Linked DNA regions of Canis lupus familiaris. The protein of the gene in region 2 interacts with the protein of the main gene of each other region in a biochemical or structural test. Links are inferred from orthologs where the notes say so. Each region holds a gene or a part of one and is shown on either strand. Other genes may lie near its edges. The genes, in order: USP4, TRIM21 and UBE2W.

What was found.
Region 1: of the proteins of TRIM21 (region 2) and USP4, one has a biochemical effect on the other in vitro, tested with the Homo sapiens proteins (2 studies listed by BioGRID). The link is inferred for Canis lupus familiaris from reciprocal best matches to the Homo sapiens genes TRIM21 and USP4.
Region 3: the proteins of TRIM21 (region 2) and UBE2W are reported together in a solved structure, tested with the Homo sapiens proteins (2 studies listed by BioGRID, with this or other methods). The link is inferred for Canis lupus familiaris from reciprocal best matches to the Homo sapiens genes TRIM21 and UBE2W.

The regions. Positions count from the first base shown.
Region 1 is NC_049241.1:40,354,805-40,359,316, reverse strand, and holds part of USP4 (ubiquitin carboxyl-terminal hydrolase 4), read right to left. Parts: intron 3,684-4,512; coding exon 3,580-3,683; intron 588-3,579; coding exon 499-587; intron 129-498; coding exon 1-128.
Region 2 is NC_049242.1:26,901,024-26,904,767, reverse strand, and holds the end of TRIM21 (E3 ubiquitin-protein ligase TRIM21), read left to right. Parts: intron 1-398; coding exon 399-421; intron 422-1,060; coding exon 1,061-1,161; intron 1,162-1,405; coding exon 1,406-1,956; 3' UTR 1,957-2,974; downstream 2,975-3,744. UniProt on the Homo sapiens protein: E3 ubiquitin-protein ligase whose activity is dependent on E2 enzymes, UBE2D1, UBE2D2, UBE2E1 and UBE2E2.
Region 3 is NC_049250.1:22,894,349-22,899,485, reverse strand, and holds the start of UBE2W (ubiquitin-conjugating enzyme E2 W), read left to right. Parts: upstream 1-1,866; 5' UTR 1,867-1,873; coding exon 1,874-1,975; intron 1,976-5,137. UniProt on the Homo sapiens protein: Accepts ubiquitin from the E1 complex and catalyzes its covalent attachment to other proteins.

The DNA.
Region 1 (4,512 bases), on a different chromosome or scaffold from region 2:
CCCATGCCCTGCTGTGAGCTGCTTGGGCTTGTCCCTCCTTCAGAGGATCCAGGAAAACTAGCAAGTGAAGGCGTCTTATAAAATTCATCATCTCGACGTTGGTAAAAGAGCACATAAGCTGCTTTTGTCTATAACACAAGAGGGGAAAAAGTTCATTCACTGGTTGGAATTACCATCCACTCTCCCTGGCTTTTCTCTCACTGTTCAAAACCCACTCTCAGAGTTTTGCCATCTTGCCCTGTGCATTCAGACAGAGGCAACAAGGAAGGAGACCCTGCTCAGAGAGTGGGGAAAGGCCGGTACCCTGTGACAGAACCCAGAGAAGAACCTAGCTTCTCATTTAGGAAGGGTCCTGGAAGGAATGGCAGTCAACTCTCTACTACACCCAGCTCCCATTGTCATATCAGGATGACCAAATAACCACCACCCAGGAGGCTCTTCCCAGCTTTAATCCATCATCAAGGTAAGAGGAGGAGCCAAGTATTAGAGCCTACTCACCACTATCTGATCTTCAGAGGCCAGGGACACGTTGCTATCATCAAAATAATACCACTTCCCGTTCAGTTTGTTCTTCGCATATGCAGTATCTGCCAAGTCAACAAAGAAAATACCTCTAGCAATCACCAGAGAACTAATCTGGCTAGTTTATTAGACTTGCACTAAACAATAAAACTCTAAAAACACAAAACATAGGCCCTGAAATTAAGAATAATTTACAGGGCAGCCCTGGTGGCTCAACAGTTTAGCGCCGCCTGCAGCCCAGGGTGTGATCCTGGAGACCCGGGATTGAGTCCCACGTGGGGCTCCCTGCATGGAGCCTGCTTCTCCCTCTGCCTGTGTCTCTGCCTCTCTCTCTCTCTCTGTGTCTCTCAAGAATAAATAAATAAAATCTTAAAAAAAAAAGAGAATAATTTACAAATACAACCAAGATAAACTAATTTTTTTTTTTTTTTTTTGAAATCTGTTCTTTCTTGAAAAGAGTAAAAATGGGGCACCTGGGTGGCTCAGTTGATTAAAGCATCTGACTCTTGATTTCAGTTCAGGTCATGATCTCAGAGTTGTGAGTTCAAGCCCTGCATCAGGTTCTATGCTGGGTAAGAAGCCTGCCTAGGATTCTCTTTTTGCCTCCCATCTCTTTCTCCCCTCCCACTCCCACTCTTAAAAAAAAAACAAAAACAAACAAACAAAAAAAAAACGGCAAAAATGGAGTTGTCACAGACCAAGGCTTTTTAAACTGTTAATTTTGGGAAACTAATCAAACAGAGAAATCAGTATCAATCTTCAGGATGGCTATAAGTAATAATCCAGAGCCAAGGACCCATAAAAGCTGATGAAGTTTAAGATTTAAGCAAAATGGCTTTCAAAAGAACAGACCAAATCAAACTCCACTTGGTCCAGGTAGATGGCTACTACTGCCTCTTCCTGCCTCCAGAGTCTCTGGGGTAATCCCAGTGAGGGATACACTGGGCGTTCAGGCTTGCAGAGCTGGGATGTGAACAAGATGGCTTAAATTTTATCTTTCTCTGAGAATCAAAGTCTGTGGCTGGGTAACAATTCCTCACAGTGGTCCAAGCCTTCCCCACAGCCAACACTTTCTATCTTGATTTTATACTATTCTCCAGCAGGATGTTTGTAAACAGCAATCCCAGCAGCAATGAGTAATTCCTTGCCCACCCCACCCTCTACCCCAGACTCTACAAAATGACTGTAATGGAGAACTGGCTGTTAGTCTCCACCTGCTGCATGACGCTGGGCCAGCCATTTAACTCTCCAGTGAGGACTGGAGTGCCTACTGCAGAGATGAAGAACACAGGAAAAGGTGCCAAGGACCTGTCCCTACATTTGGCATTACAGTAATAATGATGGCTCTCAATCCTGGAGTTCCAACTGTGGACCTAATGTGGGTCCTCAGGCAACCAGCCTGATCTCATGGACGAGAGAGAACACCGAAGGATATGGAGGCTAAGGAACTTGCCCAAGTGGTATGTTTATATACTAAAACTTTTAAAAGTTATTTCATTTGGCATGCATGAACACAGATCCCAAAATTAATTCTGGAAAATTAATTTTTCTGGAAAAAAGCTGCATTAAGTGCTGCAGGGTATGATGTGATGAGGGATCACCAATAGCCATTCTAGGAGAGCCCCAACTTTCAAACAGGCACAATTTTATTTCCTAGCCTCTCCTAAAGCTACATGTAACCACGTGCCCAGTTACAAGCTAATGAAATGTCCACAGAAGAGCTGAGGGGGGACTTCTAGGAGGCTGCCTTAAAGGCGGAAGGCTGCGCCCATTTTTCTCTTCTTCTGATAGTGTGCAATGTAGACATGAGGGCCAGACACTGAGCAGCCATCCTGAGCCATGAGGTGATACAGTAAAAATGGAGGGGCGAGAAAGCAGACTGCTGGGCTGAGAGAAAAAGTGTCACAGTATAGGGAAGAGGTCTGAAGCTTAGGGAAGTTCTATAATTTATTGTTGAATGTAAAAGGAACTGAAACCTCCTGTGCGGCCATCTCTGGGGTCCTAACACTGGGTGTAGTGGCAGTTGTCATGGTGTAGATGCAGCAGAGATGTGAAGAAACCCAGCTCTTCACTTCAAGCATCACTAACACCTTTCCACAAACAAGTAACAAAATATACGAAGTCTTTTCATTAAAAAAGAAAATGTCCAGCGGCACCTGAGTGGCTCAGAGGTTAAGCATCCAACTCTTGGTTTTGGCTCAGGTCATGACCTCAGGATCATGAGATCGAGCCCTGCATCAGGCTACACACTCAGTGCGGGGGTCTGCTGGAGATTCCCTCTCCCTCCGTCCCTCCCCATCGCAAGTGCTGGTTCTCTCTAAAATAAATAAATAAATAAATAAATAAATAAATAAATAAATAAATAAATAAATAAATAGTTTAAAACAAAACGAAACAAAAACCTACACATTCTAGACATTTTGGAAGATAAGGTAGAGCAAAGAGAAAGTTTCGTTGATTTTTGCTTTAATATAGTTGTGATATGAGCTTCTACAGTGATATGAGTTTGAACACGTCATGGGCATTTCCCCATGTTTATTGTTTTTTTTTTTGCAATGGCGGTGTTCTCGTCCATCAAGTAGGTGGACAGCAGTGCCAACTGTTGGCTTACCAACACAGCTACTAAGTTTTCACTGTTATAAATAGGGGAATCTTTGTGCATTAAGCTTTTTCCCAATGTCAAGTACTTTCCTTAGGATAGATTCCCAGAGGTCGGAATTACTTGGATTCAAGAATATGAAGACTGGGGTGCCTGGCTGGCTCAGTTGGTGGAGCAAGGGACTCTTGATCCTGGGGTCATGAGTTCAAGCCCCATGTTGGGTGTAGAGACCATTTAAAACTAAAATCTGGGGGGGGGAGCCCCATCCCTACCCCCAAAAAAGAAAGAAAAAGAATGGAGAAGCAGCAGTAGTTTGGACCAAGCCTGAAACCTTGACACTTGAGGCCTGAAGGACTAAAGATAAAGTACTGAGGGCAGGGCCTGGCACACAGGAAGAGACCAGTGAGACTGGCCACAGGCATTTCAACATGTCAGAGATGGCAGATGCCAGTACTTACAGTGGCCAACTCCCATGGCTCCGTAATGATTAGACACGGCAATGAGGTCGTACACATAAGGCCTTGCCGACAGGTCACATACAAACTCGGACATGTTCAGAGCTCTGAGCACAAAACACAAAAATGGCCTTTACTGCATCAAACTAGAGAAAGCAGCTGGAGTAACCCAGCAACCCCTTCTCTGCACTAGGCTAGGACACAGGGAAGCAGAAACAGTAACTACATCAGGAATGGACAGCCAGGCTGCGTGGCAGGGGCCCTGTGGGCTCGTCTGACCACTGGCCTATGCAGGCTGGAGAGAAGTTGCCCGGCTAGCTCCAAGCACCAAGCTAGCACCAGTAAGGAAGGGCTCTGGGCATGGAGAAGAGGGCTGCAGCAACTATGTAGGAAGGGCAATTAGGATCAAAATTACAGTTGATGCCATAAAAATTTAAATACCAAAAGAGGCCCCAGAAAACTTTTCTCCCCAACATTTTAGTTTGAAAATTTTAAACACACAGAGAAGTTAAATTTTACAACAAATCCTCCTGTACCACCACCCAGGTTCTCCCACTGACACGTCTATACTCCATGCATCTACCTTCACTCCCACTACCCAGTGAGCATTTTAAAATCTGCATTTGGCAGACGAACTCTTATAAGGCTGGCTTCCTTTTCTGTGTCAGTTACACTCTGCATCCTGGGACCCAGGAACACAGGGAGTTAGTCAATCCCACTCTCTGCCCCAGGAACAAGACAGTTGGATCTGCATCTCCACTGCAGCCCCCAGTTATCCAATTCTCCTCAGCTGAGCACGCTCTGGTTGCTTCATCACCCAGTTAATGAGAAGCAGTACTGTATCTGTGCTGTCCAGCTGAGACCAGGCTCCCTGGGACTAATGACGGATGGGAGGCCCGGTTCAGAGAGCAGAAATGATTAGCCTCACTCTGAGCC
Region 2 (3,744 bases):
GATAGAGCAGTTCCTGTCCATCTTGACTTGGCCATTCTTGCCCTGTGACTATCTCTGGACCTCAGCCAGGCTGGGCTGCTTGTTCCTTTCCACTCTCTTCCCCCTCCTCTACCCATAAAGTCTGAGCTTTCTAATATGTCTTCTGAATCAGAGTCCTTAAACTAGTCATCCTTTCCCTGGCTGTAGGTCACACCCATGCTGGTTACTCTTGTTATTCCACAAACATCCACATTCCTTCTCCTCCAAGCTGGGAGAAATAGTTCAGGTAATGGCCTAGAGGAATAGAGTAGAACAATGTCCCATGGGCCTCAGGGGGAGCATCACCTCACCCACAGAACTGAGATCTCAACGGTAAACCAGTGATCCAGAATTTACACTCTGTTTTTTTCTCTCCTCAGGAGGTGAAAAGTGTCCTGGGAAGGTAAGGAGAGGTTTTCTTTGTAAGAAGAGTGGGAAGCAGGAAGCATATATACCTGTGGAAAAGGTTGTTGCATTAGAAAGACATGCACTGATATTTTCCCCATTCTCCCTATTCTCAAAGACCCAATAGCCCATAAAATATTTTCTGGTCTGAGGCTAATTAGTGAAAACATCAGTTGGTGAGTTATCCAAAGTAATTGGACCATAACAGCTTTATGAAGTGAAGCCCCAACAAAAGGGGAAATTCTGTTCAATCTTGAGTCTGCAGCCTGCTAGGACTCTTTCTTTAAAAAGAATCTAGCTGGTTACAAATCTCCCAGGAAGAGCCATGTGAGACCAGCTGCATGGGCAAGACTCCTTGGGGTTCCTTACAGAAGTAATTCCATCTGTATCAGGTGCCTAACCTGTAAAATGAAACAGAATGTGCTTGCTTGCGTCAGGGGGCTTCAGGGGGCCCATGTAACCAGGAGGGCCTGGATAGGAACTATGTCCTATATCTTCTTGCCTCCCACCCCCAAGGATCCTAACACAGGTGCTTATAAATTTGCATTAAATTGTTACCTACAAAGGAGGTTATAGTGTCAGGGCTCAGGAGGGTGGGGCAGGAGATGGAGACAAGGTCTGTAACTGTTTGCCCCAGGACTGAGGCTTGGAACCTGAAGGAGCTGGACATTACCTCCCCGGGTCTGAGGAGTGTGTGCCTCGTGCCAGGGCTAAAGACGATGCTGAGGACGTATGGAGGTGAGACTAGCCCCAGGAGTGTGGGACTGGGGAATGAAGTGGGTGATGAGGGTGGAGAGTGAGTCCCTGGCAGGTCAGGGTAGGTGAGGCAGGGACAGAGAGGTGGTTCCCTCAAAGGTCAGGCCTGAAGGTTATTTTCTCCCACAGTGCGGCTCATGGTCACCCTCATCCTTACCCCCACCACAGGCCCAGGGCTCCTGCTTCCCCTTCCTCTCCCAGCCTGACCGTGGGCTTCTCTCTGCAGTACACATCACCCTGGATCCACACACAGCCAATCCATGGCTCATCCTTTCAGAGGATCGGAGACAAGTGAGGCTTGGAGACAGCCAGCAGGAAGTGCCTGAAAATGAAAGCAGATTTGACATGTATCCCATGGTCCTGGGAGCCCAGTGCTTTGACTCTGGAAAGGCTTACTGGGAGGTGGATGTGAGAGGAAAAGAGGCCTGGGACCTGGGTGTTTGTACAGATTCTGCACAGAGGAAGGGGCACTTTTTGCTCAGCCCTGGGAACGGCTTCTGGACAATTTGGCTGTGGAACAAACAAAAATATGAGGCTGGCACCTGTCCCCAGACTCCCCTCCACCTTCAGGTGCCTCCATGCCAAGTTGGGATCTTCTTGGACTGTGAGGCCCACACAGTCTCCTTCTACAACATCACTGACCATGGCTCCCTCATCTATACCTTCTCTGAATGTGCCTTTGCTGGACCTCTGCGGCCTTTCTTTGGTACTGGTTTTAATGATGCAGGAAGAAACGCAGCACCTCTTGTGCTCTGTCCGCTGGAGGTGGGATCGTAGGGATCCATGGAGCAGTGGTAGCACTCTCTGAACACCGACTGTTGGTGTCTTTCTCAGCCATTGACTCTGCCCCATTTCCCCAGGAACTCTGAACCACTTTGTTTCTGTAGAGGTGTCGGGATACCAGCAAGCAGATTGTGGCAGGGAATTCACTGAAAATCTACATAAAATGATTTTCAACATCAGTATTGAATGATTACTGCCCTAGATTACTGCCCTACATTACTTTGACTCCCTCCATGAAACAAACTACTTATGTTGGGCCCAAATCACCTGGATCAACCAAAACATGTCTCTGCCATCTTTATGTGACCCAAGTCTTGTTTTCTCCTCTCCATCTCTAGGCCTTTGGTAAGATCTCTTATACACCTTGCATGGCTTGCAAAGGGGACTCCTAAATGTATTGGGTCTTGATCTATCACATTCAATCCTTGTTCTTGTATACATTTAGGATTACTGTTCCAACATAAACATATCAGAGCATAAGTAGCTCCATACCTATTAAAAAAAAAAGAAAGCAGCCATCCTTTAAAAATAAAGCCTGAATGATGCATGCCTTAGATTTCCACATTACATTTCCAGCCCCTGTGCTCCCCCATCCCTACCATGCTCTCCCAACCATGTCCTGTAGATAATGGAGTTGGCCAAAAGGTGTATCAATCTAAATGGAAGGCAGGATGGATTTTTTTATGTCAGTTTGGCTAGGCCATAAGCCCCCAGTTTTTCAATGTTTCTGTGAAGGTATTTTGTAGATGTCATTAAAGTCCATAATTGTTTGATTTTAAGGGAGACTCTCCTGGATAAGGTGGGTAGGCCTAATCCAATCAAGTGAAAGACCTTAAGAGCAGAACTAAAAGTTCACTGAAGACGACCCTCCTACCAATAGCAGCTTCAGCTCCTGCCACAGTTACAGCCTGCCCTTCCTGTTGCCTGGCCCTGTGGATTTAGGACCTGCCTTGCCAAACGCCACAAGTGCATAAGCGAATTCCTTACAATAAATCTCTTCATATTTATCTCCTACCAGTTCTGCTTCTTTGGCAAACTGATTGGTGTGAATGTCAGAACTGCAGTAACAGTATCACCTGTTGATAGCAAACACTCTTGTGTTTAAGCTTTTACAGTTGGAAGAAGTGCTATACACAGCCCTGAGAGTACAGCTATCCTTCCAGCAACCAGAGTGTCTAAAATAGAATCTCAGGTGAAGAAGCTGGGAAGATGGCAGAGGAGGAAGACCCTAAGCTCACCTCATCCCATGGATACAACTAGATAACACCCACATCAGTGTAAATAACCCAGAAAATGACCCGAAGACTGGCAGAACAAACCACAAGTAAAGATAGAAAAGAGGCCACATTGACAAGGGTAGGGAAGGGTGGAAATATGTCCAGGAGCTAGATGGACCACGGACCACCTGCAGGAGTAAGGGATCTGCTGGAGCAGAGAAGGGCAAGAAGCAAACTATCACACCAGGGAACCTGCACAGGGAAGATCAATCCGCATAACCTTTGACTTCAATAACTAGAAGGGCTGAATTTTGTCAGTTCTTACAACCAGTGGGACTTAAAGCCTAGAATTTTAAAATTCAGGTGACCTGGCCTTGGGAGAGCCCTGAGGTGACAGGAAGCTGAGTGCCAGACCTTACAGAGCCCCACAAACAGCCCTTGGAGATATAGCATAGAAAAAGCCACTTGAAAAACACCTAGGTGAGAGTTTCTCATCTCAGAGCAGGCCACCTCCAGAAGACGACTTTTTAAAGTGCATACCCTGCCCATCACTTTGCAGATCTGC
Region 3 (5,137 bases), on a different chromosome or scaffold from region 2:
GGATGATTCCTAATAGCTAAAAGTCTCCAAACATTCCTCAAGGGCACCGTCACTTTGCACAACAAAGAGAATACCAGCTCATTTCTGGCAATAGGGTGGAATTATTTTTTTTTAATTTTTTATTTATTTATGATAGTCAGAGAGAGAGGCAGAGACACAGGCTGAGGGAGAAGCAGGCTCCATGCACCGGGAGCCCGATGAGGGATTCGATCCCGGGTCTCCAGGATCGCGCCCTGGGCCAAAGGCAGGCGCCAAACCGCTGCGCCACCCAGGGATCCCCTACATTAGGGAATTTCCCAGAGAACATAATGATCTATCTTTAGAGTGGGAAGGGTGATATCCTACATTGGTCTTATATTTAAATCTTACAGAAATTTCTAAACAACAGCTCCAAGTTAATAAAACAACAGATTTCAAGCTTTCATTCTGGTAAAGCAAAAAAGCCTTCTACTAGATGTATCAGCCATCTAAATCTTTAAAAGATAGAACACGAGATGCAAGCCTCTGGCTTCCATTTTATTCTTTTTTTAAAAAGATTTATTTATTTATTATTTATTTATTTATGATAGAGAGAAAGAGAGAGAGAGAGAGGCAGAGACATAGGCAGAGGAAGAAGCAGGCTCCACGCAGGAAGCCCCACGCGGGACTCCATCCCCGGTCTCCAGGATCGTGCCCTGGGCCAAAGGCAGGCGCCAAACCGCTGAGCCACCCAGGGATCCCCTTCCATTTTATTCTTAACCAATGACAACTGAAGTTGTCGAATAGCTTTTTTTTTTTTTAAGATTTTATTTATTTACTCATGAGAGACAGAGAGAGAGAGAGAGAGAGAGAGAGAGAGAGAGGCAGAGACAGGCAGAGGGAGAAGCAGGCTCCATGCAGGGAGCCCGACGTGGGACTTGATCCCAGGTCTCCAGGATCACACCCTGGGCTGAAGGCAGGTGCTCAACCGCTGAGCCACCCGGGGGTCCCTGGCATAGCTTTTTAAAAGGTGGCTTCTGATAAATGTTGGCAGAACTGGTGCATTCCAGAAAAAATTCTGGATGCTCACCTCTCCCTACTCAAATACATCCCTAGGTCAAATGACCACAGAACTGCCCACCACGAAACAGGCTGAAGCCAAGTCCAGATGTGACAAAAGGTGTCAAGTGTATACTACAAAGTGCACAGATCCATCAAAACAACAAAACAAAACAATCGCGTCTAGGGTCAAATCCCTACACAGATGTGAATGCCGTAACAACCTAACTATTACGGATACCCGTTTAGTTTAAAACCGAGGGGCTGGTGTAAAGGGGGAAACAACAGCACACGAACCAAAGAAAAACTTTAAAAATGTCTCTTCCCTTTCGGGCAAGTTTCAGCTCTACAAATCCACCCTGGCCCTTAGAATGCCAACGTACTGTTTTGCTCTCCGTCCTCATCCCATTGTACAACGACATGCGTCTTTCTCCCCCGACACTGGGAACACGAGAAGCCTTCCAGACCGTAAAGAGTAAAAGGCAGCCCCGCGGGCAGGGGAACCGCGCCCCAAGGTGTGAATATGGGCCTGGCGCGGTGGAGAAGACGTCCAAGAGCATCTTCCAACCACACCACCAGCGGTTGGAAAAACAAAGCAAAAAGAAAAACCAACGGGGCTGGGCATCATCAAGATGTTAGGGTAAACAGAGAAAAAAAAAAAAAAAAAACCTACGGCCGTCGCCAGGTGAGGCCCGGCGCGGCGGCGAGGGAGCGCGGCCGCCGGAGAGCGCGCTGGGCCCGAGGGTACCAACAGCGCCATTGACCGCGCTCCCGCCGCCCCTCCCCCCGCCGGGGCGCCAGCCAATCCCCTCCCGCCGTCGCCTTCCCACCGGAGGCCCCGCCCCCGGCGCCCAGGATGCTGGGCCCCCGCGGCGTGACGCGAGCACGGCGGCTCCGCCCCCTGCGTCTCTGGCCTCGCCGGCCTTGGGGGGATGGTTCCATCATGGCGTCAATGCAGGTGAGAGGAGTTTGCAGCATCTGGGCGGGCGAGGGAGCCGCCGAGAGGACGCAAGCGTTTTGTCGGGGGCGGCGTCCGGGACTCTGGGGCACCCGGGCGGGTTCGGGAGCGGCCCTGGTGGCCAGTCCTTTCCCGGCTTCAGGACGTTGGGGAGGGGTGCGAGGCGGCGAGAAGAAGGGCGGGGGAGGGGGGGGTCCTCGGGCGGTCGAAGCGGACACCAGCCGGCCGGGAAGTTGGGGGATAAAGAAGGCTGAGAGGAGGAAGGGGTGAAGTTTGGCGTTGGCGTGGCGGCAGTGGTCTCGGGTCGCCTCTCGCTCACACTGACGCTGGCCTGCCCGCCCGCCCCGGGGATGCCTTCCCCGCGGTCCCCGGCCGGGCGGAAACAGCTGCTCTGGCCGTCGTCGCTGGGGCAAGGGCGGCCCGGAGAGGGGCCGGGGGCGGGGGGGAGCTGAAAAGGCGTTCCGGGGACGGCGGCCAGCTGCAGAAGCGCCTCGCGGCCTCTGCTCAGGCCTCCCACGCCCAGCTGCTCCGACCGCTCGGCCCTGCTCTCTTTGACTCTCACTCCTTTGCCCCGTGGGTACCTTCCTCTGTTAGCTTTCGCACCCTCTGCGAACCTTAGTGCGGCAGCGCACTCGCTCTCCCGAGGCTGCCCTTGGCCCTTCAACATCATTTGCCTCCTAAGAGGCAGTCTCCCCGAGATCTGAGTCACTAGCCCCCTTATACCTCCGGGATGGCTCGCCCTCAGATTTTTTTTTTTTTTTCTTTCCCTGCGGTGCCCCACCCTTGTGGTCGCGGTAAAGCTCCAGCCCTTTGCCCTTCTTCCCTAGATCTTTAGTGGAATCTTAGTTTGGTAGGAGGCATTTATTAACCTGTGTCATAGCTGCCTGACTTAGCAGTTCATGGGTTTCTGGCTTTCCAACTTAATATGCTCCTTTTTTTCCAGATCCAAGGAGTTTTGTTTTTTTGTTTTTTTGTGGTTTTTTGTTTTGTTTTGTTTTTTCTTTTTTCCCCCCAGGCAAAGATGGCAACCACCACTGCAGTTTTGTAAAGATTGACTCTGCTTTATCTATAGCCTGCATTTAATTTTACAAATGAAGACTAGCTCTGATGAGAACACCTAGGGAGAGAAGATAGAACTGTTGTTTGGAGTGGCAGCTGAGTGCTTTTTAGAGTTTTAACATCTTAAAGAGACCCACGTTTTTCTTAGGATTCAGTGCTTTTGTTTCTAGAAGAATAAGCAAATCTTCTTATCTTCCCCCACCCTCTGTTTTTGGTTTGTTTTTCATTTCTAGGCGAGAACACTTTTTTCTTCTCTTTTCTGCATCTTCCTCTTTTGCGTACATACTTGCTTCACATTTACTTTTGTGCTTTTGTGTTATCCCCTTTCAACCAGTTTTCCATGCGATATTCTATTTACCGTTGCTGCTGCTTCTGGACTTTCCTGAAGAATAGAAAAATGTCTAACTTTCCTACTTGAAGGGATGTCACAAAACGGTGCAGGGAAAAAACAAGAACAATTTGAGGAAACATTATACTTTACACTGGTCTCCCCAGAGACGTTAGAGAGGTTTCGTCATTTGAGGCCAAAAAAGGAACTGTGGAACACTAGTTGAACAGTAGATGGGCTATATGACTAATTTAAGATAGTTTGTATTAAGATTAAAATAATTTGTTTCAAGACTAAAAATTATGGTTAAACCCACAGCACCTGTGATTATATTTAACAAGACAATTATAGGGATAACTAGTTAGCTGGTTAGATGTAAACTTTGAGGGTCTGAAAAAACAAATTTCCCGGTTTAAGAGAAAAAAGTGAATACAGAATTGGGTCAGTGCAGGACTTAATGTTGATAATCTTGAATTTTACATGGTGACTTGAGCAATGGAAAAAAAAATATTTGCCACTGCAATAAGTGGAATTTTCTGTGTTTTAGGTATTTTCCCACTGCTTGTTTGTATTTTCGAAATATCTGATACAGATATTTCAGATACAGGTTTTCTGACAGTACCTTGAAAAATAATTTTAATATAGATAAATCAAGCTTTTCGAAATTCAGTACTGGTTTCTGTGTGGTTATTCCGTCTTTGGTGAATAAAATTTTTCCTGACCATCTTTATAGCAAAATGTTGTGTTAAAGATTTTATTTTATTTTTTTTTTTAAGTAATCTCTGCATCCAACCTGGGGCTCAAACTCACAACCCCAAGATCAAGACTCTGCTCTACCAACTAAGCCAGCTAGATGCCCCTTAATAGCAAAATTTCACTCTTTTCAAAACAACTGGATTTGTTTATTTACTCAATTATTTTTTAAGGGCCCTACTGTGCTACTAATCAGAGTGCTAGAGATAGAGCAGTGAACAAAAGTAGACAAGGATTTCTGCTCTGGATACAATAGTCTAGTTGGGGGAGACAGATAACCAAATACTTAAGTTAATTGCATATTATATTAGAAGGTGATAATGCTATGAAGGGAAAGCATGGAAGGAGGTTAGGAAATGGATGTTTTGGGGATTTCAGTCAGAGTGCTTAGGAAAAAGTATACATATGCTGCTCTAACCATGTCCTTACCTAAAAAGTTTTCAGATTTCTTTATCTTACGCCAGGTCGTCAGGATGTTATCGCGGCTGAGGAGATTACTGAAGCTATAAGAACTATTTTAAAGACATACAAATTATAGAAATGTAATATAAGATTTGATTACTTGATAAAAACGAAATTAGTCTTGAGAATCAGTAACAAGTAAGGATAGACCTTGGTTTTTTCCTTGGAGAGGATTTTGCAGTTGAGGTTTTAACTCCTTTAACGCACTCTGTCAGTGTCTCCCAACCTTTCCTCAGATGGCGGCACGTAGAAAATAATTTTTGAATCGCACACTATGGTGGACGCACTAAACTGTTGGAGATGAATACAGTTATTTTGGCACATCTGTAATGCTGGGAATGCTCTGCTCAATAATATTGTTAAAGTTGTTCTTCATACAGTTCATGGTTGTGATTTTCAAACTTACTGGAGCCTTAGAGATATTCTTTCTTGGGAACGAAGTCACAAATTACTGAGATTATGGTTAGATGGTGTTTTAAAGTATTCTTAGAGAATAGTGGACTTCTGGCAATACTTAAAATTGGCAGCAGTTAGAGTAAAGAAACATCTACATTTAATTG